2 linked regions of the Macaca fascicularis genome follow. The protein of the gene in region 1 interacts with the protein of each later gene in a pairwise test. Links are inferred from orthologs where the notes say so. Each region holds a gene or a part of one and is shown in the gene's direction. Other genes may lie near its edges. The genes, in order: TRIM37 and PRC1.

Region 1 (15,528 bases):
GCCAACATTACGAAACCATGTCTCTACTAAAAATACAAAAAATTAGCTGAGTGTGGTGGCGTGCGCCTGTAATCTCAACTACTTGGGAGGCTGAGGCAGGAGAATCACTTGAACCAGGGGGCAGAGGTTGCAGTGAGCTGAGACCCTGCCACTGCCCTCTAGCCTGGGCGACAGTGAGACTCCATCTCAAAAATAAATAAATAAATAAATAAATAAATAAATAAAAACTGCTCTTTTTCTGATTGGGCGTGGTGGCTCACACCTGTAATCCCAGCACACTGGGAGGCCAAGGTGGGTGGATCACCTGAGGTCAGGAGTTCAAGACCAGCCTGGCCAACATGAACCACCGTCTCTACTAAAAATACAAAATTAGCCAAGCATGATACACACCTGTAATCCCAGCTACTCTGGAGGCCGAGACAGGAGAATCACTTGAACCTGGAGCCAGAGGATGCAGTGAGCTGAAATCGCACCACTGTACTCCAGCCTGGGCAACAAGAGTGAAACTCCATCTCAAAAAAAAAGCCCAAAATACTGCTGTTTTTATAAATGATAAAAGAAATGTAATTGCATATATCAATAAGGTTTCCTCTCAGGTGATTACTTAGTGACCTTAATGTTTAGATGAGTTTGTCTTTTATTCTTATTTTACTAACTGTATAGTAATGGTCTGTTTTTCAATTTTAGATATGAATATCGTGTAGAGATGGTTCACCAGTCCTGTAATGATCCTACAAAAAATATCATTCGAGAATTTGCATCTGACTTTGAAGTTGGAGAATGCTGGGGCTATAATAGATTTTTCCGTTTGGACTTACTTGCAAATGAAGGATACTTGAATCCACAAAATGATACCGTGATTTTAAGGTAATAGGAAAAATTTAATGTTGTGGTTTTTATTGTGGGGAAATAATATCATTGGAACTGTATTTCAAAGATCATTTGGTTAACAAAGATGAATATTGAAATTCATACTAACTATAACCTTATCACTTTCTTAACTGTTTTATTTAAGTGGATAATAATCAAAAATTTGTAGTCAAAAAGTCAAACTTTTTTTTTGACATCTAGTTAGTAATTTCATTAAAGATATGCCGGGTGCGGTGGTGCGCTGGTGTTTCCATCTACTCTGGAGGCCGAGATGGAAGGATAGATTGGGCCCAGGAGTTTGAGACCAGCTTAGGAAACATAATGAGACCCCCATCTCTTTAAAAAGAAAAAAAAAATGTGTGTAGGGAGGAAACTACAACTTCCAGTAAATATAGTAATGTTCCATTTATCTGTTGAACTTCTAGTGACCTCACCGTTTGGAAATCTAAGAATAGTGAGAGATAAAGTGTTGATTTTTTTCACTTCACAGTGCATTTTATATTTGAGTGACTGGTTTTACAACTTAATTTTATAAAGCAGCTATCAGTTCTTTGTGAATAACAGAAAATTAAAAGAAGAATCAAGATGAAAGTTGATGAAAATGAGCAATTTTCTACTTTTTTCTTAAACTTTTATTTTAGGTTCAGGGATACTTATGTAGGTTTGTTATACAGGTAAACTCACATCGTGGTGATTTGCTGTACAGATTACTTCATCACCCAGATACTAAGCCTAGTACCCAGTAGTTATTTTTTCTGATCCTCTCCCTTCCATCCTCAAGTAGGCCCCAGTGTCTATTGTCTCCCCTCTTTATATCCCTGAGTTCTCATCATTTAGCGCCTTTTTTTTTTTTTTGAGATGGAGTCTCCCTCTGTCTCCCAGGCTGGAGTGCAGTGGCGCAATCTCGGCTCACTGCAAGCTCCGCCTCCCGGGTTCACGCCATTCTTCTGCCTCAGCCTCCTGAGTAGCTGAGACTACAGGTGCCCGCCACTGCATCCGGCTAATTTTGTTTTTGTATTTTTAGTAGAGACGGGGTTTCACCGTGTTAGCCAGGATGGTCTCAATCTCCTGACCTCTTGAGCCACCCGCCTCGGCCTCCCAAAGTGCTGGGATTACAGTCCTGAGCCACCGTGCCTGGCCCATTTAGCTCTTAAATAATAAGTGAGAACATGTGGTATTTGGGAAAACCATCAATTTTTTTTTTTTTTTTTGAGACAGTTTTTCTCTAGTTGCCCAGGTTGGAATGGAGTGCAGTGGTACGATCTTGGCTCCCTGCAGCATTCGCCTCCCAGGTTCAGGCGATTCTCCTGCCTCGGCCTCCTGAGTAGCTGGGATTGCAGGCATGGGCCACCACGCCCGGCTAATTTTGTACTTTTATTAGAGACGGGGTTTCTCCCTATTGGTCAGGCTGGTCTCGAACTCCCGACCTCAGGTGATCCACCCACCTCGGTCTCCCAAAGTGCTCTGATAACAGACGTGAGCCACCACGTCCAGCCAAAACCATCAATTTTTTATTGTTGATTGTTGGTTTAGTATTTACAAGAAAGGACAGAATATAAATACTGACTATAAAACAACAGCCCTATTTAGCCAGGCATGGTGGCTCACGCCTGTAATCCCAGCACTTTGGGAGGCTGAGGTAGGTAGATCACCTGGGGTCAGGAGTTTGAGACCAGCCTGGCCAATATGGTGAAATCCTATCTTTACTAAAAATACAAAAATTAGCCAGCCTGTGGTGGCACGCACCTGTAACCCCAGCTACTCAGGATGCCGAGGCAGGAGAATCGCTTGAACCTGGCAGGTGGAGGTTGCAGTGAACCGAGATTATGCCACTGTACCCCAGCCTGGGCGACATAGCAAGACCCCATCTCAAAAAAAATAATAATAAAGTAAATAAAAACAACAGCCCTGTTTAACGTGGGGTAGTCTTTACACAGGTCAGAAGTTTTTGGGCATCAGCTGGGCGCCGTGGCTCATACCTGTAATCCCAGCACTTTGGGAGGCTGAAGTGGGTGGATCACCTGAGGTCAGGAGTTCAAGACCAGCCTGGGCAACATGGTGAAACCCTGTCTCTACTAAAAATACAAAAATTATTTGGGCGTGGTGGTGGGCGCTTGTAATCCCAGCTACTTGGGAAGCTGAGGCAGTTGAATCGCTTGAGCCCAGAAGGCAGATGTTGCAGTGACCCGAGATTTCACTAGTGCACTGCAGCCTGGACAACAAGAGTGAAACTCTGTCTTAAAAAAACAAAAAACAAACAAAAAAAGATGTTTGGGTATCATTACATGATGTTATAATTTGATGATTAAAATGAGAACTTGAATATTTAAAAAAGAGATTAAAATACGTTCGTAACTGAGAAGTTTCAGAGTATTTAGCAGTTTAAGAAGTTCTCATCACAATTTGAAACTTTTTTTTTCTTGAGAGTGATTTAATGTACTCCTAAATTTCCCTTATTCAGAGCTCTTTGTTCTTGAGCATACTGGACAGATCATATCAGCATTTACTCTTAGGTGTTTTCCATAGCTTTTCTGGAAGTGTAAAGAAGTTTAACAAGGGATATGATTTTCAGTGTAGGGAAAAAGATTCATGTTTTTGTTATTGTTTTGTTTTGTTTTGTTTAGAGGCAGTGTCTTGCTATATTGCCCAGTCTAGTCTAGAATTCTTGGGCTCAAGTGATCCTCCTGCCTCAACTTCCCAAGTAGGTGGGATTACAGGTGCATGCCACTGTGCCTGGAATCATGTTTTTTGAAGGGAGGGATTATTTTAGTTATCTTCATATAGCTTTTCAGACTTTTGGGGTTTAATGTTCGCCAAGAGAAGTAATTTATTGCTTTTCATGCTTCAGCCATAGAGAGAATTACAAAATTATTCAACTATCAATTTTACCAACCTACAAAAGACCCATTTTCTTATAGTCTTAGTTTCATCCTTATTACTGTTATATATTAGTACAGAAACAAATTCTTGTTAGGACATCATTTTTTTAAAGCAACATTGAGTCTGTACCATATGCCTGACACTGAGTTGCTAATAAGAAAAATATAGACATGGTTTTTGTCCACAGGGAACTCAAGATGAAATTGGCAGATAAAAAAAGAGTTTACTACACTCTTATTATAAAATAATGCTATAGTAGCACCATAAGTAAATTGCTATGAAATTCGTGGATAGGGAGCTTCTCATTATCGTATTATATTTATTTATTTAATGAAACATTGCTCAAACTTTAAACCTCATTTAGTTCAAGATTCTGGTGGAACTTTATTAGAAAGTTATTTAAGGCTTTTCTGTAACTATGAATATATATTTCATTCTTTCATTAAAACAGAAAGTTAAGAAAATTTACCTGCTGCTTGGTTTTGTTTTAATGGCAAAATATTATAATGCTCAGGGTTAACCACTGGTTTAAGTCATTCAAAGAAAATAATAGTGTTCAGACGATCTTACTTTAATGTCTTACCAATGGGTGCTTCCTAGACTGTGAATCATCTCTGCTCAGTTCAGTTCAGAACATACTTTAATCTGTTTATTTTATTTTATTTTTATTTTGTATTATATTATATTATATTAGAGACGGAGTTTCGCTCTGTTGCCCAGGCTAGAGTGCAGTGACATGATCTCGGCTCACTGCAACCTTTGCCTCCCAGATTCAAGTGATTCTCCTGCCTCAGCCTCCTGAGTAGCTGGGATTACAGGCGCCCACCACCATACCCAGCTAATTTTTGTACTTTTAATGGAGATGGGGTTTCACCATGTTGGCGAGACTGGTCTTGAACTCCTGACCACAGGTGATCTGCCCGCCTCGGCCTCCCAGAGTGCTAGGATTACAGGCGTGAGCCACTGTGCCCAGCCAATCTCTTTTTTTAAAAAAAAATACTCAAGTTCTCATTTTGATAATCCAAATATAGCATATAATGATGCCCAAAAACTTCTGACCTATCAAGACTACCCCAACATTAAATAGGACTGTTGTTTTATAGTTGGTGTTTATGTTCTGTCCTTTCTTGCATGAGTATTCTTGACTGAAACTAGGTATATACTGCCAGATAACTGTTAAATGGTCAGTAGGTTCTTACGCTAAGGTGTAAAATCCTAGAAAAAAATGGACAGCTAACATTGTGTAACTGGGTAAAAGGCTGGAAGGAATGAAAGAGAGGTAGATATCCAAATTAATCTTGCCTTGTGGTGTTTCCTTTCTTCAAAAACACCTTCACACATGCACTGCAATTTTTTCACTATAAATATAGTTACGTTAGGCTATGTAACAAAGGTAGAGGTTTGCTTTAGTAAGTATTAGTTTTTTTAAAAATTAAAACAACTGGATAGATTAAGTTTCTGTCATTTATATATTAATATGATTTTATGTAGATGCAGTACTTTTTTTTCCTAATCTAAGCTGAAATAATGCCATATTGTAATAAGGGCAATTTTGATTGCTATCTTGAAGGGTTCGGGATATAGTTTATTTAGAGCATGTAACTCTTTGGGGGACAGTAAAGCAATCCTGGGTGGTTGACCCAGTAAATGATTTTTTTCTGAGGGGCAGGAAATATGGGAATGTGAGATGGAATAGAGAAATATAAAGAGCAGCATTTAAAACTTTGTATTTTGCTAGGGCCTGATTTAGGGAAGAAAGGGATAAGAGTTATCTTTCTCCTTATAGGAGGGAACTGCATGGTATATGGCTCTCTTCTTCCCAACTCATGATCATCATCATATTTTAGTTGCATTATTATAATATGCCTTAGTAGGTTAGTTTGGGGAGCTTAACTACAATGTACAATGTACTTTAGAAAGGTAGTTTGAGGACAACTGGATTTTCAGAATCTTGTGTCATAATCTGTGGATTACGTCTATAAACAACAAATACTAGCAGCTCTAAGTTTACGTGAATTTTGGCCTTATAATCAAGTTAACCAAAATTACAGAATTCAAAGCTAGACTCATAATATTTTACCATTTGAATTTTTTTTTTTTTTTAATGTGGCACGATTCTTTTAAGGTTTCAGGTACGTTCACCAACTTTCTTTCAAAAATCCCGGGACCAGCATTGGTACATTACTCAGTTGGAAGCTGCACAGACTAGTTATATCCAACAAATAAACAACCTTAAAGAGGTAAGGAAATATATATTTCTGGTTTAGTGTTTCCTATTGTCCTTTTGGCTTGTTATATTTGTAATTAGATTTAATATATTTATTGCTATTTGTAATTTTGTAGTTTATAATTGGAAAAAAAATCTAGTTATCCTGTTCCCCATCCTTACTGGTTCTGCAGTGTCCAGTTTAGTAACCACTAGTCACATATGGCTATGTAAATTTTTGTTTTACTTTATTTATTTTTTATTTTGGAGACAGGGTCACACTCACTCTCGTTGCCAGGAACAGTTTCCACTAACTGCAGCTTCAGCTTCCCAAGCTTGGGTGGTCCTCCCACCTTAGCCTCCCAGGTAGCTCTGACTTTGAGCAGGTGTCATGGCTAGTTTTTGTATTTTTTATGGAGACAGGGGCTTCTCCATATTGCCCAAGCTGGTCTTGAACTCCTGGGCTCAAGCACTCTGCCTGCCTTGGCCTCCTAAAGTGCTGAGGTTACAGGTGTGAGCCACTGTGCCTGGTCTGTAAATTTAACTTGATTAAAATTAAAAATTTAATTCCTTAGTTGCAGTAGCCACATTTCAAGTGCTTGCATTGGGTACTGCAAATCTAGAGCATTTCCGTCATTGCATAAAGTTGTTTTGAACAGTGTGGCTGTAGTTTGAGGTAAGCTCTTTGTGTTTCTGTCAGTGACTTAGTTTCTCTTCCACAAGTTATCTTGGATTTAGAGGATTCTAGGCTATAGCACAATTAAAAGTTGTCCCATCTTGAACTCTTAACTATTATTGAATGAGCACTAGAGAAGATTAATTGATGAATTTTTATTTTACAATGATAAACTGAGGAATGTTTCATTTCCCTTAGGAACTTAGGATGTGGCGGAAGGTTTGGAGTGCTGAGAATCGTTAATAGGTCAGGGAGGAAAATATGAATAAATACATGCTTTCAGAGATTTTCATGTTAAATGTACTATTTAAAACTACCTGTATTCACTTACTGTTTGCTATTTGTATGTTTAGCTTAGGCTGGATATGAAAGAAGGAAGATGAGCATATATGGGGCAGTTTATCTTTGTCATCAATTTTTTTCATAAATAAAAGGCAGTAGGGATTCAGAGAAATAGTTTAAGAAATGGTGCCAAGTGAGGTGGCTCACTCCTGTAATCCCAGCATGTTGGGAGGCCGAGACCAGAAGATCATTTGAGCCCAGGAGTTCAAAACCAGCCTGAGCAACGTAGCAAGATAAATAAAAAATGAAATTAGCTAAGCATGGTGGCACATGCCTCCAGTCCCAGCCACTTGAGAGGCTGAGGCAGTAGGATCTCTTGAGCCCAGTAGTTCAAGGCTTGCAGTGAGCTGTGATGGCACCACTGCACTTCAGCCTGGGCAACAGAGTGAGACAGTTCTCAAAAAATAAATAAGGAAAGAAAGAAATGGTTTTAGGAGCGTCTGGATGCATTTTTTTTTAGCTAGAAACATCTTTTACTGTGCCAGTGAGCTATGGCTAATATTTGTGCTTTTCTTGTTTTAAAAGAGACTTACTATTGAGCTATCTCGAACTCAGAAGTCAAGAGATTTGTCACCACCAGATAACCATCTTAGCCCCCAAAATGATGATGTTCCGGAGACACGAGCTAAGAAGTCTGCGTGCTCTGACATGCTTCTTGAGGGTGGTCCTACTACAGCTTCTATAAGAGAGGCCAAAGAGGATGAAGAAGAGGAGGAGAAGATTCAGAATGAAGATTATCATGTAATAATGAGGCCAGTTTTAGATTTTTGTGTTTGATAAAAGAAACAGTAGAATCATGGCTTTTAACGTATTATGCGCTGAAACAGTAGGCTAAAAATATTGTCCATTGATTTCCATTAGTAATGTATATATGCCCTTATGTAAATGTTAATAAGTCAGAAGTTGTTGAATCAAAGCATTTCAAGATTCTGAAATAATACATTCTATAAAACAAACTGTGATGTACATTTTAAAAACTAAACTACCATAAATTGTGGATTTTAAAAGTGTGTTCTGGCCGGGTGCGGTGGCTCACACTGTAATCCCAGCACTTTGGGAGGCCAAGGTGGGCAGATCACATGAGGTCAGGAGTTCGAGACCACCCTGGCCAACATGGTGAAACCCTGTCTCTACTAAAAATACAAAAATTAGCTGGGTGTGGTGATGCTTGCCTGTAATCCCAGCTACTTGGGAGGCTGAGGTAGGAGAATCACTTGAACCTGGGAGGTGGAGGTTGCTGTGCGCCAAGATTGTGCCACTGCACTCCAGCCTGGGAGACAGAGCAAGACTCCATCTCAAAGAAAAAGAAAAAAAACCAGGTGTTCTATTTTCATTCACTGAAACTAGTACATACCTTGTCATTACTTATGTAGGTAGAATGATTTAGGATTTAGTAGATAACCAGGCTCTATCCCAGCTAAACAACAGCCAGAATCCAGAATAAGAATTTAAGAAGTAGATATTTTTACATAAGAAGGGATGCCTAGATAGTTGTTTTTTTTTGTAGTAATTTTTAAGATGAGATACTTCAGTTTTAAGTTACGTTGAAGGACCCAGTGGGTCGAGAGAATGCACAGATTAAGTGCTTTGATAAACTAGAGATAATAGGGTTTGGAATGGAGCAGTCAGGTAAAGCAGTTAGTCTTTGACAAACTGAGTTAAAGGAAGGGTGGAGTTTGCAGGTAAGGCAGCTGAAAGTTGGGGAAGTTTTTGCTTAATAGTGGGTATTTTTTTTCTGTGCAGATAGGTGACAGTGTTAATTAATGACCTTGATAATGGTAAAATTAGGTAGAACTGAGGAGTGATGGTTTGAAACATAGCTCTGTGAGGAAGCTGATGTGGAATATGTGAAGGATTCCAGTCACACTGAGGGCCCAGCTGAAGGCGGCACGCATAAGTTAGTAAAATGATGTCACTGTGGTTGTGTGATTTTTCTCCACAGGGCTCAGCAGCTGAGGCACAGAAGCAGAAAATAGCTTTTTGATAACTATATTATTCTTTGGTGCTTGGTTTATGGGGTGGATGGGGTGATCAACTGAGTAGAAACATTTGGAATAGATGTCTTGTTTTCTTGGCATTGATCTAGCACGAGCTTTCAGATGGAGATCTGGATCTGGATCTTGTTTATGAGGATGAAGTAAATCAGCTAGATGGCAGCAGTTCCTCTGCTAGTTCCACAGCAACAAGTAATACAGAAGAAAATGATATTGATGAAGAAACTATGTGAGTGTCCCACTTTACTACTGTAAAGCATTTAAGTGGTAATTATTAGAAGCATATTAACTAACTCACCCTTAAAAGTAGGGACATTCAGCACTTTTTTGAAAGGTTGAATCAATAGCCAGTTTTCTCCCTCTAATCTCTGGGCTCTTAGCCAATAATTTTTGTTTTTGTTTTACCTTTTAAATTTGAATTTTGAAATTATTTTATGCCTAAGAAAAGTTCAGAATTCCATATTTCCTTCACACAGATTCATTCACTATTAATATTTTGCTTTATATTTCTCTAATTTTTTTCTGAAACACTTGAGATTGAATATACTTCTCATTGTCTACTTTTCTAAAAACAAGGATATTCTTACATAACTATAGAATAGTTATCAAGATCTGGAAATTAACATTGATGTAATACTGTAACCTTCTAAAAATTTGCCAGTAATGTCCTTTGTCAGGATCACATTGCATTTAGTTGTTAAATCGATTTAGTTATCTTCCATCTGGGTTACTTTTTTAGAAATTTGTTTTTCGGCTGGGCGCGGTGGCTCACACCTGTAATCCCAGCACTTTGGGAGACCAAGGCAGGTGGATCACGAGGTCAGGAGATCGAGACCATCCTGGCTAACACGGTGAAACCCCGTCTCTACTAAAAATACAAAAAGAAATTAGCCGGGCGTGGTGGCGGGTGCCTGTAGTCCCAGCTACTTGGGAGGCTGAGGCAGGAGAATGGCATGAACTCAGGAGGCGGAGCTTGCAGTGAGCCAAGATCGCACCACTACACTCCAGCATGGGCAACAGAGCGAGACTGTCTCAAAAAAAAAAAAAAATTGTTTTTTATGACTAATACTTTTTGAGAAATACAGAATAGTTTATTTTGTAGAAAGTCCCTCAATTTGGATTAGTCTGAAGTTTCCTCATGATTAGATAGAGATTACACAGTTTTGGCAGGGATACTACGGAAATGATAATGTATCCTTTTCATTGCATCATGTGGGAGTGGAGCATGATGTCAATATGTCCCATTACTTGTTAATTTTGATCACTTGGTTGAGGTAGCATCCGCCAGATTTCTGCACTCCAAAATTACTACTTTTTCCTTTATAATTAATAAGTATCTTGTGTATGGGACTGTAAATATCATATTTTTCTTCCTACTTTTTCCTGTGAATTTTGACACCCCTTGATGAGTGTTGCTTGAAAAAGGTTACTGTGTTGATTGCCAAGTGGTGTTTTTCTAATTCCATTATTTCTTATTCATTAGTTGCAATTTAAGGAAGAGCTTTCCCTTCTGCCCTATTGATGAACTAATTAATGAATATCATTAATGTGGATAAATTTTTTTTCTTGAGATGGAGTCTTGCTCTGTCACCCAGGCTGGCATGCAGTGTCACGATCTTGGCTCACTGCAACCTCCACCTCCTGGGTTCAGGTGATCCTTCCACCTCAGCCTCCCGAGTAGCAAGGATTACGGGCACATACCACCACGCCTGGCTATTTTTTTTTGTATTTTTAGTGGAGATGGGGTTTCACCACGTTGGCCAGGCTGGTCTTGAACTCCTGACTTCAGGTGATCTTCCCACCTCAGCCTTCCAAAGTGCTGGGATTACAGGTGTGAGCCACTGCGCCTGGTGATTTTTGGATTTTTAAACCAAGCTTGCCTTCCTGGGACACATCCCACTTGGTCATAGTGTGTAATTTTTTTTTTTTTTTTTTTTTTTGAGACAGAGTCTCACACTGTCACCCAGGCTGAAGTGCAATGGCATGATCTCGGTTCACTGCAACCTCCGCCTCCCAGGTTCAAGCGATTCTCCTGTCTCAGCCTCCTGAGTAGCTGGGATTATAGGCACCCACCACTACGCCTGGCTAATTTTTTGTATTTTTAGTAGAGATGAGGTTTCACTATGTTGGTCAGGCTGGTCTCAAACACCTGACCTCGTGATCCACCGTCTCGTCCTCCCAGAGTGCTGGAATTACAAGTGTGATCCACCTTGCCTGGCCATCCTTTTTTTTTTTCTTTTTTTAATTTGAGACGGTGTCTCTCTCTGTCACCCAGGCTGGAGTGCAGTGGCGCGATACCCACTCTCTGCAAGCTCCGCCTCCCGATTCACACCATTCTCCTGCCACAGCCTCCCGAGTAGTTGGGACTACAGGCTCCCACCACCTGGCCTGGCTAAGCTTTTTTTGTATTTTTAATAGAGATGGGGTTTCACCGTGTTAGCCAGGATGGTCTCGATCTTCTGACCTCGTGATCCGCCTGCCTTGGCCTGGGAGCCATTACACCCAGAAATTTTTTTTTTTTCCAAAGAAAATCTTGCTTTGTGGCCGGGCTGGAGTACTGTGGCATGATTATAGCTCCCCGTAACTTTGAACTCTGGCCTCAAGTGATCCATCTGCTTCAGCCTTCCTAGTAGCTAGGACTACTGGTGTGCATCATCACGCTTGGCTCATGATTCTTTTTATATGTTGCTGGATTCTGTTTGCTAGTACAGTTGTCCCTCAGTATCCTTGTGGTATTGGTTCTAGGACCCCTCCTTGGATACTAAAATCTGAGGATGCTCAAGTCTCTTATATAAAATGGCAGAGTAGTTGCATATAACCTATACACATCCTCCCCTATACTTTAAATCATTTCTAGATTACTTATAATACCTAATACAATGTAAATGCTATGTTGTTATGCTCTATAGTATACAGAATAATGACAAGGGGAAAAAGTCTGTGCATGGCTTTATTTTGTTTTGTTTTATTTATTTTTTTTGAGATGGAGTTTCGCTCTTGTCGCCCAGGCTGGAACGCAATGGCACAATCTCAGCTCACTGCAGCCTCCACCTCCCGGGTTCAAGCGGTTTTCCTGCCTCAGTCTGCTGAGTAGCTGGGATTATACACACCTGCCACCATGCCTGACTAATTTTTTGTATTTTTAGTAGAGACAGGGTTTTGCCATGTTGGCCAAGCTGGTTTCAAACTCCTGGTCTCAGGTGATCCACCTGCCTCGGCCTCCCAAAGTGCTGGGATTACAGGCGTGAGCCCCTGCACCCGGCCAACTTTATTTTTTGAGACAGGGTCTTGGCCTGTCACCCAAGCTGGAGTGCAGTGGTGTTGTGATCACAGCTCACTGCAACCTCGACCTCCTGGGCTCAAGTGATCCTCCCACCTTGGTTTTCCAAGTAGCTAGGACTACAGGTGCTTGCCAACACACCTGGCTAATTTTTAAATTTTTTGTAGAGATGGGGTCTCACTATGGCCTTACTATGTTGTTCTAGGCTGGCCCCGAACTCCTAGGCTCAAGCAGTCCTCCAGCCTCGGCTTCCCCAAGTGCTGAGATTACAGGCATGAACCACCGCACCAGGCCTTAAAAAATATTTTTGATCCACAGTTGGTTGAATGTGCAGATGCAGAGCCCACAGATATAGAAGGCCAACTGTATTTTGTTGATGCTGTTAATAGTGTTGTATGTTTCTCTGAGTGTTGTATGTGTCTCTGCTTCTCCCTGTAGGCAAAATCTCTGAGCCAAAGCTTTGAAGTTGCAGTGAGGATAAAAGTATACCTCCCTTACTTTAGAAGCTGAGTTAACTGGATGTTGGGGACAGTAGCCTTAGTTCTTTCCTTTTCAGGCTTGGGACCTCCACCTTATGAATAAGCTGGGACAGGGATGATCTGGGCCCCAGTATTCTCATCATGCTGCATCCAAGTAGAGCCTCTATTCCACAAGTGGGTCTCAGCAGAAGGGAGTCTCCATGTCTTGGCGGTGTGTGCCTGTACTATAGCATCAGCAATAGGTAGCTGGGGGCAGAATGAGAAATGGAGATATCTTGCCACTCCTAGGAATATAGCCCTCCTCTTGGAAGCTTGGGAAGTGGGAGGCCTATGTTCTTCATTGCACCAATCTGGAGTGGAATTTCTGTAACGCCAAGTTAGGAAGCGGAGTGGTCTTGGTTCAAATCCTGCGGATACCCACTTGTCTTACCCAGGTTTTATAGATTTTTTTAAGTAGATGTTTCTTCATTTGCTGTATACCCTTGGGACCATTTCCAGAGTCGTTAAGTGGTTGTTTTTAAAATAATTGTCACCAGTTTGACTAACGAGCAGATCTGCAGAGCTCCTTACATTGTCAAGCTGGATGCTTATCTTGAGATTTCCTTAAATATCCAAGACTATCATTGATTGGTACTGTTTCAAATAGTACTTTGTTGTTTAAAATAAAGTAATAGTGAGTGTTTTTTAATATGAGAGACTTTGTATGGCCTAGTCAGTACCCTCTTTTCTGAAATTTTATTTTTGGAAAAATAGTATTTAGTCATAAACAGTAATTTGGGCCTTTTTTTTTTGGATATTAAATTGTAATATTTTAAGCCTAATTTATTACCATTAAGCTACCAGTTCTCAGAAGCTGGAATTTCTTCTAACAGTGGTTCTTAGATTTATTAGTGTTTCATTTATTTCTTTTTTTTTTTTTTGCCTGACACAGTTCTTTTTGTTTTAATCTTCTTTTCCTTTCCTGTCTTGTCCTGTCCTGTCCTTCTTGAGACAGAGTCTCGCTCTGTTGCCCAGGCTGGAGTGCGGTAGTGCAATCTTGGGCTCACTGCAACCTCCACCTCCCAGGTTCAACCGATTCTCCTGCCTCAGGCTCCTGAGGAGCTGGGATTACAGGCACCCACCACAACACCCAGCTAATTTTTGTATTTTTAGGAGAGACAGGGTTTTGCCATGTTGGCCAGGCTGGTCTCGAAATCCTGACCTCAGGTGATCCGCCCACCTTAGCCTCCCAAAGTGCTGGGATTTCAGGTGTGAGCCACCGCGCCCGGCCTGATATATATATTTTTTAATTCCTTTTTTTTCTTAGCTTTGTAAGAAGAAATGGCTGATTTTTTTTTTTTTCTTTTTTTTTTTTGAGATGGAGTCTCGCTCTGTCCCCCAGGCTGGAGTGCAGTGGCGCAATCTTGGCTCACTGCAAGCTCTGCCTCCTGGGTTCACGCCATTCTCCTGATTCAGCCTCCTGAGTAGGTGGGACTACAGGTGTCCGCCACCAAGCCCAGCTAATTTTTAGTATTTTTAGCAGAGACGGGAATTTCACTGTGTTAGCCAGGATGGTCTCAATCTCCTGACCTTGTGATCCGCCCGCCTCAGCCTCCCAAAGTGCTGGGATTGTAGGCGTGAGCCACCGTGCCTGGCCGATATTTTTTGAAGGTTGTTTAAACAATAACATTACCACTACTTAAATTTGGATAGTGACAAAAAATCTTTCTTCTTTTTGTATTTAGAAATATCTTATTTCACAGAAAAATCTGCATATCATAAAATTTGTTGAGGTGTGAAAAATGTTTATTGTATCGCTCTATATGAATGATGGGTTTTGCATATTCTTAGGTCTGGAGAAAATGATGTGGAATATAACAACATGGAATTAGAAGAGGGAGAACTCATGGAAGATGCAGCTGCAGGACCTGCAGGTAATGAGGTCACCCACTGCCTCCAAGCCATTCTATTTTCTCCCTGCTCTTCTCTGACCGTATTATATTTTAAATAGGTGGTAGCCACTGCTTGTACATGGTTCATGGTGTTGGAAGTGCTACATCTTGTAATACGGATTTTTTAGAGTTCATTACTAAAGATACTTAATAATAATAGCTACCATTTAAAAAATGTTCTTATGTACCAGGCACTGTGAGAAGCACTTTATATGCCTTATATTAATAAAATTCTGGTGGTACATTCACCGATGGATAGAGAAATTACAGCAACTTGCCAACTTTTAGCAATTTAGTAAATGAGAGTAATTGAATCCCCAGTTTTGTCTGTATCCCATGCTTATATTTTATACTGTTTTCTGATATAAAGTCTTATTTGTATATCTTCCTGGACTATAGAATGATCTCAATGGAATAATTGACTCTTAGACTTACAAAGGATCTTAAAGAGCTCATTTTATGGTTTTTAGTTGCCTGGTCATATAGCTGGTTGTTAGTACAACCAGACTAGAACTCCAGATTGTCCTGGGTTTGTGGACCCAGCATTTTTCTCCCAAACTACACTGCTTCTCCTGGGAAGAACTGACTTATATAATGAGTACTTTTTTTGTGTGTTCTCGGATCTATTTAATTAAGTAGTGAATCTTGGCTAGAGTAATTAAAAGTTAGCTTTCTACTGTTTCTGTTTTACCCATGTTCTCCTCAGTGTGAACACTGGCATATTCTTCTTTTTTTTTTTTTTTTTTTTTTTTGAGACGGAGTCTCGCTCTGTTGCCCAGGCTGGAGTACAGTGGTGTGATCTCGGCTCACTGCAAGCTCCGCCTCCCAGGCTCACGCTGTTCTCCTGCCTCAGCCTCCGGAGTAGCTAGG
Region 2 (16,096 bases), on another chromosome or scaffold:
TAGTCCTTCTCTCTCTCACCTCTGTAGTGCCTGACAGTGCTAGATGCTCTTCAGACACTCAGTAAATAGTCTAATTGCATCTTCTTCAGAGCTATGGCCCTGAACACCTGCTAACCTTCTCCAATCTGAGACGAGCTGGGCTCCTAACAGAGCAGGCCCCTGGGGACACCCTCACAGCCGTGGAGAGTAAAGTGAGCAAGCTGGTGACCGACAAGGCTGCAGGTAAGCAGGGAGCACAGGTGACCCCTACTCCAGCTGTTGTCCTGACTTCTCTCAACAGGCAGCACGCTGGGAGGGACAGAATGAATTGGAGAAGGGGGACTGATTCCTTCCTATTAATGTCATTACCATTATTACTACTACGTCTGCCAGTAAGAGTGGTTTCCACATAGTGAACACTTACCATGTGCTGAGCCCTTTAGTTTCTCATTGAATCCTCACAAAGACTCTGTGAGGTAAATTTTCTCATCCTCATTTTATGGATGATGAAACTGAGGCTTAGAGAATTAAGTGATATGGCCGGGCGCGGTGGCTCACGCCTGTAATCCCAGCACTTTGGGAGGCCGAGGCGGGCGGATCACAAGGTCAGGAGATCGAGACCACGGTGAAACCCTGTCTCTACTAAAAATACAAAAAATTAGCCGGGTGCGGTGGCGGGCGCCTATAGTCCCAGCTACTCGGGAGGCTGAGGCAGGAGAATGGCCTGAACCCAGGAGACGGAGCTTGCAGTGAGCCGAGATCGTGCCACTGCACTCCAGCCTGGGGGACAGAGCGAGACTCTGTCTCAAAAAAAAAAAAAAAAAAAGAGAATTAAGTGACTTGTCCCAGGTCCCTTAGTTAGTAAGTTAGGTCAGTTTAACTCCAAAGCACATACCAATAAACTTGGGTTACCCTGTGGATTGCATTTAGTAGAGACCTGGTACCCTGTAGGAGGGGGAAGACTGTGGGTGGGGAGAAGGGTGGGAGTTCCAGGGAATTGTAGTTGAACAGCTTCCGAGAGTTTTTGGATGTGATTGGTGCTGTCGTGTCCTGAATGGTGTTGTCCGTGGCAGTGTCATGAATCCACAGACCTTAGGTGAAACCTGACACAGATTTCTTCCCCAGGAAAGATTACTGATGCTTTCAGTTCTCTGGCCAAGAGGAGCAATTTTCGTGCCATCAGCAAAAAGCTGAATTTGGTATGTGGAACAGGGATGGTTAGGGGAGACAGTGGGTTCATTCCATTGTGGGGTACTTTTTTTTTTTTTTTTTTTGAGATGGAGTCTTGCTCTGTTGCCCAGGCTGGAGTGCAGTGGCACAATCTCAGCTCACTGCAACCTCTGCCTCCCAGGTTCAAGTAATTCTCCTGCCTCAGCCTCCCAAGGGATTACAGGCATATGCCACCACACCCGGCTAATTTTTGTATTTTTAGTAGAGACAGGGTTTCACCATGTTGGCCAACTTCTGACCTCAGAAGTTCTGGTCTCGAACTTCTGATCTCAGGTGATCCACCCACCTCAGCCTCCCAAAGTGCTAGGATTACAGGCATGAGCCACTGCGCCTGGCCCATTGTGGAGTACTTTGAATCCACAAAAACCTTTTTGTCATTTCATGTGTATAAAGATTCTTTTGTTTGGTAGTCTTATAGCATGGTAGATTCATTCATTTAATCAACATGTAACAAGCACCTGCCGATGCCAGAGAATATTCTAAGTGCTGCTTCAGTGACAACCATATCCCATGTCCCTTAAGGACAGGGAAAGGAGAACCTGTCTCTCCAGCCCCTTCACATTATCCAATAATGGTGCATGGGAACTCATTCCAGAGAGCTGGCAGTTACTGAACAGAAACTGCTATCTTCTGTTATGGATTCTCTTTTCAGGGCTATTGCTGGTTCTCCCTTTTGTTGAAATAAGAATTGTTCTTTGGGCTGTGCCACTTTATCTGACCCTTTAAAGGGTTAGGGAGCTGAGCTGTCACTTGCCTAATGAAGTCCCTTTGTCTTTTTTTTTTTTTTTTTTTTTTTTGAGATGGAGTCTCCCACAGTTGCCCAGGCTGGAGTGCGGTGGCGCCATCTCGGCTCACTGCAAGCTCCGCCTCCCGGGTTCACGCCATTCTCCTGCCTCAGCCTCACAAGTAGCTGGGACTACAGGCGCCTGCAGCCACGCCCTGCTAATTTTTTGCATTTTTAGTAGAGACGGGGTTTCACCGTGGTAGCCAGGATGGTCTCGATCTCCTGACCTTGTGATCCACCCGCCTCAGCCTCCCAAAGTGCTGGGATTACAGGCGTGAGCCACCGCGCCCGGCCAAGTCCCTTTGTCTTATAGATCCCACGTGTGGACGGCGAGTATGATCTGAAAGTGCCCCGAGACATGGCTTACGTCTTCAGTGGTGCTTATGTGCCCTTGAGCTGCCGAATCATTGAGCAGGTAAGAGCATATTACTCTTGCTCCCATTCATATTTCATTGTCTCTGCTTTCTCTTGGTCCCTAACTTGTCTTGACTTTTTTTTTTTTTCTTTGAGAGATGGAGTCTCGCTCTGTCACCCAGGCTGGAGTGCAGTGGGGTGATCTCAGCTCACTGCAGCCTCCGCCTCCTGGATGTAAGTGATTCTCCTGCCTCAGCTTCCCAAGTAGCTGGGACTACAGGCATGTGCCACTGCACCCAGCTAATTTTTGTATTTTTAGTAGAGATGGGGTTTCATATAGACGAGGCCAACTATATGTTGGCCAGGCTGGTCTCGGACTCCTGACCTCAGGTGATCGCCCCGCCTCAAACTCCTAAAGTGTTGGGATTACAGGTGTGAGCCACCACACCTGGCCCTGTCTCAACTTTTTGCTACTTGAGTAATGAGCAAGAAATGTGACAGTCTGGCTGCTGTGCGCTTCCTTTCCTAAGCCTGATATTGTCTGTAGCCTTAAAAACAGTGCTTATACCTTCCCAGGTGCTAGAGCGGCGAAGTTGGCAGGGCCTTGATGAGGTGGTACGGCTGCTCAACTGCAGTGACTTTGCATTTACAGGTATGTGGCATCAACAGTGGGGTAGGCTGGCAGTGAGAGGTGGGCTGGATGCACCACTCAGGACTAGCATGTCAGGGAAGAGCTGAATCTGGCCTGATCCTCACAGACATGACTAAGGAAGACAAGGCTTCCAGTGAGTCCCTGCGCCTCATCTTAGTGGTGTTCTTGGGTGGTTGCACATTCTCTGAGATCTCAGCCCTCCGGTTCCTGGGCAGAGAGAAAGGTAAGAGAGATCAGAAAGGTGAGAATTGGCCTGCATTGTATATGGGCAACAAAGTGTTGGCTGGGCGCAGTGGCTCATGCCTGTAATCTCAACACTCTGGGAGGCCGAGGCAGGCAGATCACCTGAGGTTAGGAGTTCGAGACTAGCCTGACTGACATGGTGAAACCCCATCTCTATTAAAAATACAAAAATTAGCAAGGCATGGTGGTGGGTGCCTGTAATCCTAGCTACTCAGGAGGCTGAGGTAGGAGAATTGCTTGAACCTGGGAGGTGGAGGGTACAATGAGCCGAGATGGCGCCATTGCACTCCAGCCTGGACAACAAGAGCAAAACTCCGTCTCAAGAAAAAAGAAAAAAAAAAAAAAAAAAAAACCCACGCAAAGTGTCCTGCATAGGAATAGTTTTCTCCTGGCCTCGGAGTACAACTTGCCATAGCCTTACTGTGGGCTGCTATAGCAGGGAGCCCAGTTATACCAGGCGTAGAAAGCAGTGGTGCCCAAGGGTATGGCACTCAACGTCTCTGTCTATAAACTGGTGCTCTGATCCCATGGGGACTGTGGAAATGGAGGGGCTCTATGGTTATCGTTGGGGCCTAAGATCTGCGCTGTCTCTTCTGCTGCTGCATTTGACTCCTTAGGCTACAGGTTCATTTTCCTGACAACAGCAGTCACAAACAGTGCTCGTCTTATGGAGGCTATGAGTGAGGTGAAAGCCTGATGTTTTTCCCGGCCAGTATTGTCATCTTCCCTGAACACATTCCTCAGTGGGAGGCAGGCATCTGGCACCCAGCTGTTATAACCAAGTGTCTACCAACTACCTGCTACGAGCCGGGAGCATGGAACGGGTTGGGATTTAGAGAACATATCTGAGAAGAGAGTTCACTTCCTGCTCCCAGGATATTTCTCTTTTCTGTTTATGAAGTACAACCCATGCTGCTAAGATACAAGCAGGAAGAGGTATCCTTTGTTAAATCCTGTTTGAATATCATTGTAAATAAAGCCTCTGCTCTCAGATGTAATATGTTTGTTGTTCTGTACACGCACTTCCATCTTTATTAGTGAAAGCCCACTGGAGCTTTCTACAGGGGCTTCCTATGCTTCTTGGCCTGGACTTTATAGTGGCCTGATCTGGTTCTTCCCTGTAAAAGTCACTCGACCATTCTGTACCTGAGTTTCCTCAACCATAAAATGAGGGGGATGGATGAGGTGACCAGCAAGCACGTTTCCAATTCTAAAATGTTGTGATTCATTACATTTTTGAGAAAATGACTTTGTTGTTTTAACTTAAGGAGGCACTTCAATTTTAAGCATTTTGTTTCTTACTGCAGAATGAAAGATTGTGTGCCATTAGAGCCATTTCAGGCATCAGCAAACGGTGCTCCTATAAATGTACCAGCACCCTCCTCATTGCTGATGCTAGTAGCCTTTCTCCTTCTCTCTTTACCTTTCAAAAATGATGAAATATAGGCCAGGTGCTGTGGCTCATGCCTGTAATCACTGTACTTTTGGAGGCCAAGGCAAGAGGAAAGCTTGAACCCCGGAGTTTGAGACCAGCCTGGATAACATGGCAAGACCCCATCTCTACAAAAAATAAAGAAATTAGCTGAGGGTGGTGGCACACGCCTGTATTCCTAGCTACTGGGGAGGCTGAGGTGGGAGGATCCCTTGAGCCCAGGAGGTTGAGGCTGCAGTAAACTGTGACCCTCTCTCAAAAAAAAGAAAAAAGAAGGAATTACAACCACCTGTGTTAGTGGCCAGTTTTCAGGCCTCTTCCAACTTGATCCCGCTGATGACTACACTTTCCTTGAAATTGTCGTATTCAGCTTCCATAATACCCTTTCTTTGTCCTCCCACAATCTCTTAGGTTGTTCTTTGATCCCATTTGCTGACACCTCCCCTCTCTCTGTCCTTTGTTGTCATCCACTTCCAGATCTCAAGCTTTCATCTCACTCCACACAAGTATGTCCTACCTGGTCATTCCACAGGCACTTCAAACTCAGCATGTACAAAATAAACTCATGAGTGGAAGCTCTTGTCCCTACTTGAATCCTTTAATCTGCTCTTCTTCCTGTATTCCCAAACTTTGTTCAAATGAGCAAAAAGTTGTATTCTTGGCCTCAGATTTTTTCTTTCTATGCCCCACCTTTAGCTGGTTCCCTTGTCCTATTGGTTCTTATTTCTAAATGCCTCTAGTTCATCTTCTCCTCACCATCCCTATGATAGAGGTCTTTATTGTCTCTTGCCTGGGTTTTTGTAAGAGTGTCCCTCCCAGCTGCTCATCCTCCCATCTGTTCCCCATTCCACAGTGCTGCCACTTACTAAGAGGAAGAAAGAAAATCAAAACCTGAGTTACTAGATCATCAAAAGTATTCTTCCTATAGAATAAGGATCATTCTGGGCCCGGCGCAGTGGCTCACACCTGTAATCCTAGCACTTTGGGAGGCCGAGGCAGGCAGATCACTTGAGGTCAGGAGTTCAAGACCAGCCTGGCCAACGGTGAAACTCTGTCTCTACTAAAATATAAAAATTAGCTGGCTGTGGAGGTGCGCACCTGTAGTCCCAGCTACTCGGGAGGCTGAGGCGGGAGAATCACTTGAACCCAGGAGGCAGAGGTTGCAGTGAGCCGAGATCGTGCCACTGGACTCCAGCCTGGGCAAAAGAGCAAGACTGTCTCAATAAGTAAATAAGTAAATAAAAATAATGATAATTCTTTTTTTTTTTTTTTTTTTTTTTTGAGACGGAGTCTCGCTGTGTCTCCTAGGCTGGAGTGCAGTGGCGTGATCTCGGCTCACTGCAAGCTCCGCCTCCCGGGTTCACGCCATTCTCCCGCCTCAGCCTCCCAAGTAGCTGAGACTACAGGCGCCCGCCACCACGCCCGGCTAGTTTTTTTTTGTATTTTTAGTAGGGACGGGGTTTCACCATGTTAGCCAGGATAGTCTCGATCTCCTGACCTCGTGATCCACCCGCCTCGGCCTCCCAAAGTGCTGGGATTACAGGCTTGAGCCACCGCACCCGGCCAGATAATTCTGTATAAGAATACATTCCAAGGAAAAGGCATTCCTCAAGCATCTAGCTAGAATTTTGAGTGTTATTTCAAGCTAGTGTGCAAGACCAAAGACACTGCCAACAGGGCTGTTGTTCGCAGAAAGAATAGGTGGCATCAGAAAAAGATTAAACAGTGGCAAAACATTGCCCTTCCATCAAGTAGAAATATATGACCCTGTAATAGGGGTTTTTTTTATTTGTTTGATTTTTGAGAAAGGGTCTTGCTTTGTCATCCAGGCTGGAGTACAGTGGCATGATCATGCCTCACTGCAGCCTTGACCTCCTGGGCTCAAGTGATCCTCCCACCTCAGCCTCCCAAGTAGCTGGGACTAGAGGCTCATACTACCACATCTGGCTAATTTTTGTATTTTTTATAGAGACAGGGTTTTGCCACACTGCCCAGGCTAAGGTCATATATTATAAACACCTATTACACAGTGTTTTACATGCAGCGTTTATGCTCTGAATGGATATCTTTGCGTCAGTTCTGTGACTTTGTTAGCCTCAGCACCTCAGTGTAAAGGACGAGAGAAAAATTGTCTTATCTCTGGATACTTAATAATGCTGGCCCTAAGAACATGTATGAAGATCACAAATTTGTGAAGCTTTCTGAAAAGCTCTCCTGTTAATTTAACCAACAAAGAATGCAAGTAAATTTTAAAAGTGGTGCTGCCATCCACTCTATTAGTGGTGTCAATGTTAATCAACAGAGTGCAAGGAAATTGAAAAAGTGGTGCCTGTCCTCCACTGAGTTTGTGCTGTGAATATCTGGCATGCTGCTGATAGGTTAAAAAGAACATTGAAGCCAGGCGCGGTGGCTCACGCCTGTAATCCCAGCACTGGGAGGCCGAGGCCGGCGGATCACCTGAGGTCAGGAGTTCAAGACCAGCCTGGCCAACATGGCAAAACCCCATCTCTACTGAAAATACAAAAAAATTATCCAGGCATGGTGGTGCGTGCCTGTAGTCCCAGCTACTTGGGAAGCTGAGGCACAAGAACCGGGTGGCGGACGTGCAGTGAGCCGAGATTGGGCCACTGCACTTCAGCCTGGGTGACAGAGCAAGACTCCATCGCAATTTAAAAAAATAAGAAGAACATTGAAAGCAGCAATGAAGTTTTTCTGAAAATAAGAAAAATATGGTTCTGAAGGTGAAGCAAACAAGCATCCTTTACCTTTAGGGAAAAGGCATATGAACGTAAGTTACAGTTGGCCAGTAAACACGAAAAATGTGCAATTTCAGTTATAATCAAGTGCCAAACAAGGAAATGCCAGTATTATTATTTTACCTACAAAATGAGCAAAGATGTTTAAAAGTATGATAGAATTCAGCCCTGCTGAGGGTAACAAAAGGAGGGTACTTTTCCGGTGAGGCTTTGTGCAGAAGGCAAATTAATAAAGGGAGCATTCAGTAATTACACCTCTAGGAATCAGCCATACGAAAATGCAGGATGCAAAGATTTATGTATGAAGATATTCAGTCCAGCCTTATATTTTGAATTATCTAAATATCAATAGCAGAATGGGCGAGATAGCTACACACCAGGATATTATGCCACCATGAATCACTGGGAAAAAAAATGTGATATATAAGCATTTAGGGATGTAACATGTTCATCGAGGAAAGGAGGCTACAAAAGTACTATGATGTTTATTTTGAGTTTTAAATTTTTCATGTAACAATTTAGAAACTAATTTGAAAGAAAACCACACCTAGGTGATCTGCATTTATTCACCAATCAGGTGAGTTGGGCAAATCATTCAAATCTTTTTGAGTTTCCTCTGCAATGGTGACAATACTTGCCATAACAGGATTGTGGAGGTTAAATAGGATAACTAGCGTTGAAAGGTTCCAGGCCCATGAGCAGGGCTCAATGTTCCTTCCCTTCCCCTTAGTGTACGGCTTCCTACATCTGGGGAGAAGTCCCACCAAAGATCGGTTCCAACGTTCGCTTCTTGGATGAGCAAGGGAAACTAGGCTCTAACTTTCCTATTCCTCCCCGCTCCCGGTCCCGGCAGCCGGGACTCAGGGAAGCCGGAAAGCCGCGGTGCTCTCAACTCCTTCCCCGCCCGCGCACTTCGAAGACAAACTGCGCCGGGCGGGGCGGGGCGGGGCGGTGCTCCGATGACGTAGCCGACTCGGGAGGGGAGTCCCTTGAGGCTGCAGCCAATCGAGGGAAGTGGGAGGTGCAGGCCACGCCCGCCCACTCACAGACAGTGACGTCATCCCCCGCCCCGCTCCAGCGCTTCCCGGGCCCCGCTCACGAGTCCCCGCCCCGACTGCGCACCCGCGAGCTGCAACCCGAGGGGCGGGGATTTTCGTGGAGCGACGGGACGCGACGCCAATCGCAGCGAGGCTTCGCCCCGCGGCGCGGTTTGAAATTTTGCGGGGCTCAACGGCTCACGGAGCGGCTACCCGGAGTGAGATCGCCGGTGTTTGCGGGTGGTTGTTGCTCTCGTGGCGGTGTTGAGTAGGTCTAGAGCTGGACTGACGGCTGCTTGGAGCGTCTGCCATGAGGAGAAGGTGCGGGTTGCGGGGAAATCGAGGGGACGCGGGAGAGAGCGACGCCCGTCTCGGGTTCAGGGGTTCAGGGGTGCGGGGCCCGTGCGGGGTCCCGGGACTAGGGCGTCACAGCAGTCGGCGCTGAGTGAGGCCGGGGGCGCGAAGAGGCAGGGTCTGGAGGCGGCGAGCCAGTGCGAGGGCCGCGACGGAGGTGAGACCTGACGCGCTGTCCCCCGGCGGCCGCGGGTGTCCGCAGGCTCAGACGCCCGGGTGGGAGCCGAGCGCCGGTGCCCGGACGCGGCAGGGCAAGCGAGGCCGGGGGCCCGGGTCGGCCTCCACCCTGGCGGTCAGCGCTGGCGCTCGGACCCCACCCTCCCCGCCCTCGGCGTCTCAGGTGCCGCTTCTTGGCGCAGATGACTCGTAAACCTTCTGTGGTCCTGGCTTCTCTTTAAAGCTGTTAAGTTTATTTATCATTGTTTTGTTTTATTCTTTGTTTTTGTGGAAACGCGGTCTCCCTATGTTGGCCAGGCTGGTCTCGAACTCCTGGCTTCAGGTGATCCTGCCACCTCGGCCTCCCAAAGTGTTGGGATTACAGGCGTGAGCCACCGCGCCCGGCCCGTTGTTTTTCTTTATATCTGGCCAGCGGTGTTAACGTTTTGTTTGAATTGGAAAGATAGCTTTGTTTCTTTGCAAGTTAAGAAACGGATTATGGAATTCTTTTCCGGTCGTTTTAATAACTTCCTAGGCAGTGTTGGGGAGGGACTGACCGACTTGAAATCCGGACCAGTGACACTGACACTTACCAGCCTTGTGCCTTCCAAATATTAACTTTAATTTCTGAAAGTTGTAGATGAATTATTGTGATGATACAGCGTTAATTTGTAGTTTTTGGTGAAACTGATTGTTCTAAGGCTTTGTAAGATTCTTCATTTCATGATCACTGATTCTGATCTGTCTTTTTCAAATGCTTGCCCTCAGAATAATGAGAATTGAGTGCCAACATGGTGAAACCCCGTCTTAACTGAAAATACAAAAATTAGCCGGGCGTGGTGGTGCGCCTGTAGCCCCAGCTTCTCAGGAGGCTGAGGCAGGAGAATCGCTTGAGCCTGGGAGGCAGAGGTTGCATGAGCCGACATCTCGACACTGCATTCCAGCCTGGGTGGCAGAGTGAGACTGTCTCAAAAAAAAAAGTCCATTAACAGTTTATGAATTATTTAGGCATCTCCTCTATCAAGGGATTGAATGAAGCAGGAGAAAAAATTACCCTTTAGTGTTGGTTCCAGGCTAATGGATATAATTTGACTTTTTTTTTTTTTTTTTGAGACAGGGTCTCACTCTGTCACCCAGGCTGGAGTGCAGTGGCGAGATTCCTCACTGCAGCTTTGACCTCTGAGGCTCAAACAAAACTCTGGCCAGAATTAATTATGGTTATCGGTCCCCGAAACAGGTTGCACAGGAGATCAACAAAGCTCCTTCTCTGGAGTGCTAAGAAAAAATAGGGCAGTGGATCAGTGAAGGCTGCCTGAAGGTAGGAAATAATTTAGAGGACCACTTTGAGATTTCTTCCAGTCCAGTGATTTATGTTCAAGACTGAAAAAACTGACTCATTCTACAACCTTTGTGTCCTTGAGTGGTAGTCTTTGTATGCACTCTGAGTTTTTCAGTGAGTCTAAAAAAAATCTCAGACTTGCTCCTTTTAGGGGATTACCTGAAACAATTTAGCCAGGTAGTATTTCAGTGTATCATGACAATTGTTCATAATGATTGCTCTGAAGCATCTTAAGAACATACAACTTTTTTGAAATGTCACATTATTCATTCAAAAAGACTTCTTGGGCCTGGCACAGTGGCTCACACCTGTAATCCCAGCACTTTAGGAGGCCAAGGTGGGAGGATGACTTGGGCCCAGGAGTTCAAGACCAGCCTGGGGCAACATAGCAAGACCCTGTCTCTAAAAAATAATAATAATCTATACTAAAAAAGAAAAGAAAAATAATTCTTGAATGTTATATACAAGGAACCATTCCAAGTGGTGGGGATATAGCAGTGAGCAAAAGTGACATCCCTGTCCTCACAGAGTTTGTATTCTAATAGCAAAACAGGAGTGTAATAAATAAGTTAATCTTAAATGGTGATAAGTGCTATGTAGAGAAATCAAGCAGAGAAAGGGGATAAGAAGTACTGAAGGTGTAGGAAGTGGGGTTGTGGTTTTAAAGAGATGGGTCAGGAAAGGCCTCCCTGAGAAGGTGATCTCTGAGCAAAGACCTAAGGAGGAAAAGGGTGAAGCCATGCAGCATGGGGGAAAAGAGATCTAGGTAATCAGCATATCCAAGTGCCCTAAGCGGGGATAGTGCCTGGTATGTTCCAGAAAGAGCAAGGAGGTCTCTGTGACAGGAATAGAATGAGCACTGAGGTCAAAAGAAATGGCTTTCAGATGGAATGGGCCTTCATAGGGCTTTGCAAAGCCAGAGGCTTTTCCTTGGAGTGAGATGGCAAGTCATTGGAGGGTTCTGAGTAGAAGATTAGGACTTGGGGCTCCTGTGTTGACAATAGACTTAAGGAGGCCAGCATTGAAGCAGGGAGACCAGTTAAGAAGCCATTGCCATACAGCAAAAAGTTAGTGGCAGTGACCTGGACGAGGGTGGGGGTGGTAGTGGTAGCAGCAGAGGTCAGGAGGAATGAGATTCTGCCTGTCTTGTGTAGATAATGCTAATGGCGGGAATATAAGAAAGAAGTGTCAAGGATGATACAAGATTTAAGTTTTAAAAAAAAAAAATTGGCCGGGCGCGGTGGCTCAAGCCTGTAATCCCAGCACTTTGGGAGGCCGAGACGGGCGGATCACGAGGTCAGGAGATCGAGACCATCCTGGCTAACACCGTGAAACCCCGTCTCTACTAAAAATACAAAAAAACTAGCCGGGCGAGGTGGCGGGCGCCTGTAGTCCCAGCTACTCCGGAGGCTGAGGCAGGAGAATGGCCTAAACCCGGGAGGCGGAGCTTGCAGTGAGCTGAGATCCGGCCACTGCACTCCAGCCCGGGCTACAGAGCAAGACTCCGTCTCAAAAAAAAAAAAAAAAATTAAGTTCAGTACAATTTGAATGTTAGGAAGAGTGAGAAATGTTAGTTTTTAATTCTTTGAAAATGATCCTCTTACAGGAACTGTCTCTAACTAGAATAATAATAATGGGTGTTTGGAATTACCAAACACCCATTTCCAACAGGCCAAATAAAATGTGTTATATATTAGTAAAGTTTTCTTTCTTTCTTTCTTTCTTTTTTTTTTTAAGACAGTCTTGCTCTGTCGCCCAGGCTGGAGTGCAATGGCACGATCTCAGCTTACTGCAACCTCTGCCTCCTGGGTTCACCGGGTTCAAGTGATTCTCCTGCCTCAGCCTCCTGAGTATCTGAGATTACAGGCACCCACCACAACACCCGGCTAATTTTTATGTTTTTAGTAGAGATGGGGTTTCACATGTTGGCCAGGCTGATCTCTAGCTCCTGATCTCAGGTGATCAGCCTGCCTTGGCCTCCCAAAGTGCTGGGATTACACAACGTGAGCCACCACGCCCAGCCATAGTAAAAATCTGTAAGTTTTTCAATTAAGTCACAAATCAAAAAAATTTCAGATTATGTGCCGAGATGTTTTTAATAACAGCTTTGAGATATAATCCACATACCATACAATGTACTTAAAGTGTATAATTCAGTGATTTTCAGAATATTCAGAGTTGTGTAATCATCACTGCAATCAATTTTAGAACATTTTTATCACCCCTTTAAAATCCCATTAGCGGTCAATCCCCTTTCACTCCATGGTCCAAATTCTCCCCACCCCCAACTACAAATCTACTTTTTGGCTAGGCAAGGTGGTGCACACCTATAATTGCAGCACTTTGGGAGCCCAAGGTGGGAGGACTAATTGAGCCCAGGAGTTCAAGAACAGCTTGGGGGAGACTGCCTCTACAAAAAAAAAAATTTTTTTTTTTTTTTTTTTTGAGATGGAGTCTCACTCTGTCACCCAGGCTGGAGTACAGTGACGCGATCTCGGCTCACTGCAACCTCTTCCCCCTGGATTCAAGCGATTCTCCTGCCTCAGCCTCCCGAGTAGCTAGGATTACAGGTGCCCACCACCACACCCAGCTAATTTTTGTATTTTTAGTAGAGATGGGGTTTCACCATATTGGCCAGGCTGGTGTCAAACTCCTGACTTCGTGATCCACCGGTCTTGGCCTCCCAAAGTGCTGGAATTACAGGCGTAAGCCACCGTGCCTGGCCTAAAAGAAATTTTTTTTTGTTTAAGTTAGCTGGGTGTGGTGGCTCACATCTGCAGTCCCAGCTACTCTGGAAGCTGAGGTGGGAGAATCACCTGAGCCTAGAAGGTTGAGGCTGCAGTGAGCCATGATCATGTTACTGCACTCCAGCCTAGGTGAAAGATGTCTCAAAAAAAACATACAAACCTCAAATCTACTTTTTACCTATTCTGGATATATCATATAAACGGAACCATAGCTGTTGTGGTCTTTTGTGACTTGCTTCTTTGACTTGGCATAATATTTTCAAGGTTTATTGCCAAATAATATTCCATTGTATGGCTATATACTACATTTTATTTACCCATTCATAAATTGATGGCCTTTTGTTTTGTTTTGTTTTGACTTTTTGGCTATTGTAAGTAATGCTGCTATAAACATTTGTGTAGTTTTCGTATAAATGTGTTTTCATTTATTTTTGGTAAATACCCAGTAATAAAATTGCTGGGTTGTATGAACTCCATTAAACTGAGGGGCTGGGTGCAATGGCTCATGTCTGTAATCCCAACACTTTGGGAGGCTAATGTGGGAGGATTGCTTGGGCCCAGAAGTTCAAGACCAGCCTGAGCAACATGGCAAATCTTTAAAAAAAAAAAAAAAAAAAACGAAAATTAACCAACCATGATAGCACGTCTGTGGTCCCAGCTACTTGGGAGACTACGGCGGGAGAATTGCTTGAGCCAGGGACCTTGAAGCTGCAGTGAGCTATGATCACACCACTGCACTCCAGCCCAGGTGACAGTGAGGCCCTGTCTCAAAAAACAAAAAAACAACTGAGGAACTACCAGACTGTTTTCCAAAGAGGCTGCACTGTCTTGCATTCCCACGAGCAGTGTTTGAGGGTTCTAGTTTCTCTAGATTCTCACCAATACTTGTTGCTATATATATTTTTTTTTATTATAGCCATCCTGTTGGCTGTGAAGTGGTTTTGATTTGCATTTCCCTAATGACTAACATTGAGCATCTTTTTATGTGCTTATTGGCCATTTGTATATCTTCTTTGGAGAAATGTCTATTCAGATTCTCTGCCTATTGTGCTAGATTTTTTTATTCAGGAAAATGATCACTTTACCTTGTAGATATGTTACAGAGATAGGCAGCCCTGCTTGTAAACCTTCATCAGGATCCTAGAATACATAATACCTCTATTAGGTTAGGTAGGTTAGGAGCATAGGACCCTTTGGCAGGAATTCAGGGCCATTCATTTTACATCTATTGAACAACTACTATGCGTTAGGGTGTGGTAAAATGAAGATGAATAAGACGTGGTGGTCCTTGCCCTTGAGTTTATGGTCTACTAGGGGCCTGGGGGGAAAATGGCAAGTGAGTGACAAGTCCACAGGTCTCCAGAGGAGGTGGTGGCAGATAGAAGGAACTGAACGTACAAAGCACGGTGGCATCAGAAAATGAGGGCTGCATGTGGTTTATTGAGGGGCACTGTTCAGGGAATGCCCAGGAAGTTCAGTTGGCTGGAAACTTGGGGAGTGACAAGTGGCAGAGATTAGCAAACTCGGAGAGAGGTTTAGAAGGCCTTTCCACGGAAGGTGGTTGAACTATTTACTGAGGGCAATGGGACCTTTGAAGGGGAGTAGTTAAGCAGGGAGCTGATGGGATTTGTTGTTATGAACAACTAGCTGTTCTGTGGAGATTGGCTGGGCAGGGGTAGGTCTGTCAGATTGAGGAGACTGGTATACTTAAGTAATGACCTTCAGAACAGTGCCCCCGGCTGGCCTGTCTGGAAGCCAGGGTTTTGCATCCAGATCGAATATTGGCCACAGATTGGATCTTAAAAGTTATTTTTAACAAAATGCTAGTATTAGGATTTTTACTTGTGCATTCTTGTGTCTTCAAAATGAAGTGCAAAAGGAGTGTTTGCCGGGGGAAGCTCTTTAGTTGGACTTTAGTTGAGATTATGTTAAATAAATGCCTTACTGTTAACATTTCTTTTTTTCTTTTTCTGTTGGACTTGAACCGTTAACATTTCTAAAGTGAAGGGAGTACAGTAAATTCTTTTAAACATTTGTCAGTATTTGGGTCTTGGTATGGCCATCTGGTATAGGCAACAGGTACTTGTGTAGAAATGTTTCTTCAACAAGAACAGGCAACCTCTAAACTGGGATTTCGTGGCTGGAGATATTTTGGATGTGAATGTATTAACAGCTTTGGAGAGACACATTGTTAGAGATCTAGGCTGGTGACTTGTAGAACCATCGAAAGCTCTGAGACAGAAAGGGGCTAATGAAAGTCTCTAGCTCCAATTGGGTGTGGACGGCACACAAACAGCTAAGTGTTTAAGTGATTTGCTGCAGGCTTCTCAGCTGACTGGAAGCAGAGAACATCTAGATTGCAGTTTCTCTGGTGCCAGGGCAGTCTTAGTTGTCCTGTTATATCTAAGAAAAGGGAGAAAAATTTCTATTCTTTAAATGTTCTGTAAATCAGACTAATGGTTCTAATTTTTAAAGTAAACTTTTCTTAAAAGATACAGAAGCCAGTTAAATTTGTATTTTAGATAAATAATTTTTTGTTAAAATAAGCTTTTGGTAACTGAAGAATAACATACATTCAGAAACATACAGAAATCAAGTGTAAACTCAGTGAATTTTTCACAGTTGATGCACCTGTGTAAGCAGCAACCCAGAAGCCCTCTACCAGTCACTGCCTCCTCTGAGCCAAAAGAGCCACTATCCTGACTTCTGAAAGCATAGATTAGTTTGGCCTGATTTTTTGTTTGTTTCCATTTTTGAGATAGGATGTTGCTTTGTTGCTCGGGCTGGAGTACAGTGATCACAGCTCACTGCAGCCTCATCCTCCCATGCTCAAGCAATCCTCCCACCTCAGCCTCCTGAGTAGCTGGGACTATAGGCATACGCCACTGCGCCCAGCTAATTTTTTTTTTTTTTTTGATAGACACAGAGTCTCACTGTTGCCCAGGATGATCTCAAACTCCTGGGCTCAACCAATCCTCCTGCCTCGGCCTTGCAAGGTGCTAGGAATATAGGCGTGAACTACCACGCCTGACC

What was found.
Region 2: the proteins of TRIM37 (region 1) and PRC1 interact in binary tests that used the Homo sapiens proteins (3 or more experiments, as listed by UniProt). The link is inferred for Macaca fascicularis from reciprocal best matches to the Homo sapiens genes TRIM37 and PRC1.

The regions. Positions count from the first base shown.
Region 1 is NC_088390.1:47,647,518-47,663,045, forward strand, and holds part of TRIM37 (E3 ubiquitin-protein ligase TRIM37), read left to right. Parts: intron 1-687; coding exon 688-867; intron 868-5,875; coding exon 5,876-5,990; intron 5,991-7,499; coding exon 7,500-7,715; intron 7,716-9,060; coding exon 9,061-9,197; intron 9,198-14,557; coding exon 14,558-14,640; intron 14,641-15,528. UniProt on the Homo sapiens protein: E3 ubiquitin-protein ligase required to prevent centriole reduplication. Probably acts by ubiquitinating positive regulators of centriole reduplication.
Region 2 is NC_088381.1:75,541,347-75,557,442, reverse strand, and holds the start of PRC1 (protein regulator of cytokinesis 1), read left to right. Parts: upstream 1-8,635; 5' UTR 8,636-8,777; coding exon 8,778-8,788; intron 8,789-16,096. Other genes in the region: VPS33B (vacuolar protein sorting-associated protein 33B), read left to right, coding at 90-222, 1,105-1,178, 2,307-2,408, 2,924-2,999, 3,106-3,222, 3,860-3,939. UniProt on the Homo sapiens protein: Key regulator of cytokinesis that cross-links antiparrallel microtubules at an average distance of 35 nM. Essential for controlling the spatiotemporal formation of the midzone and successful cytokinesis.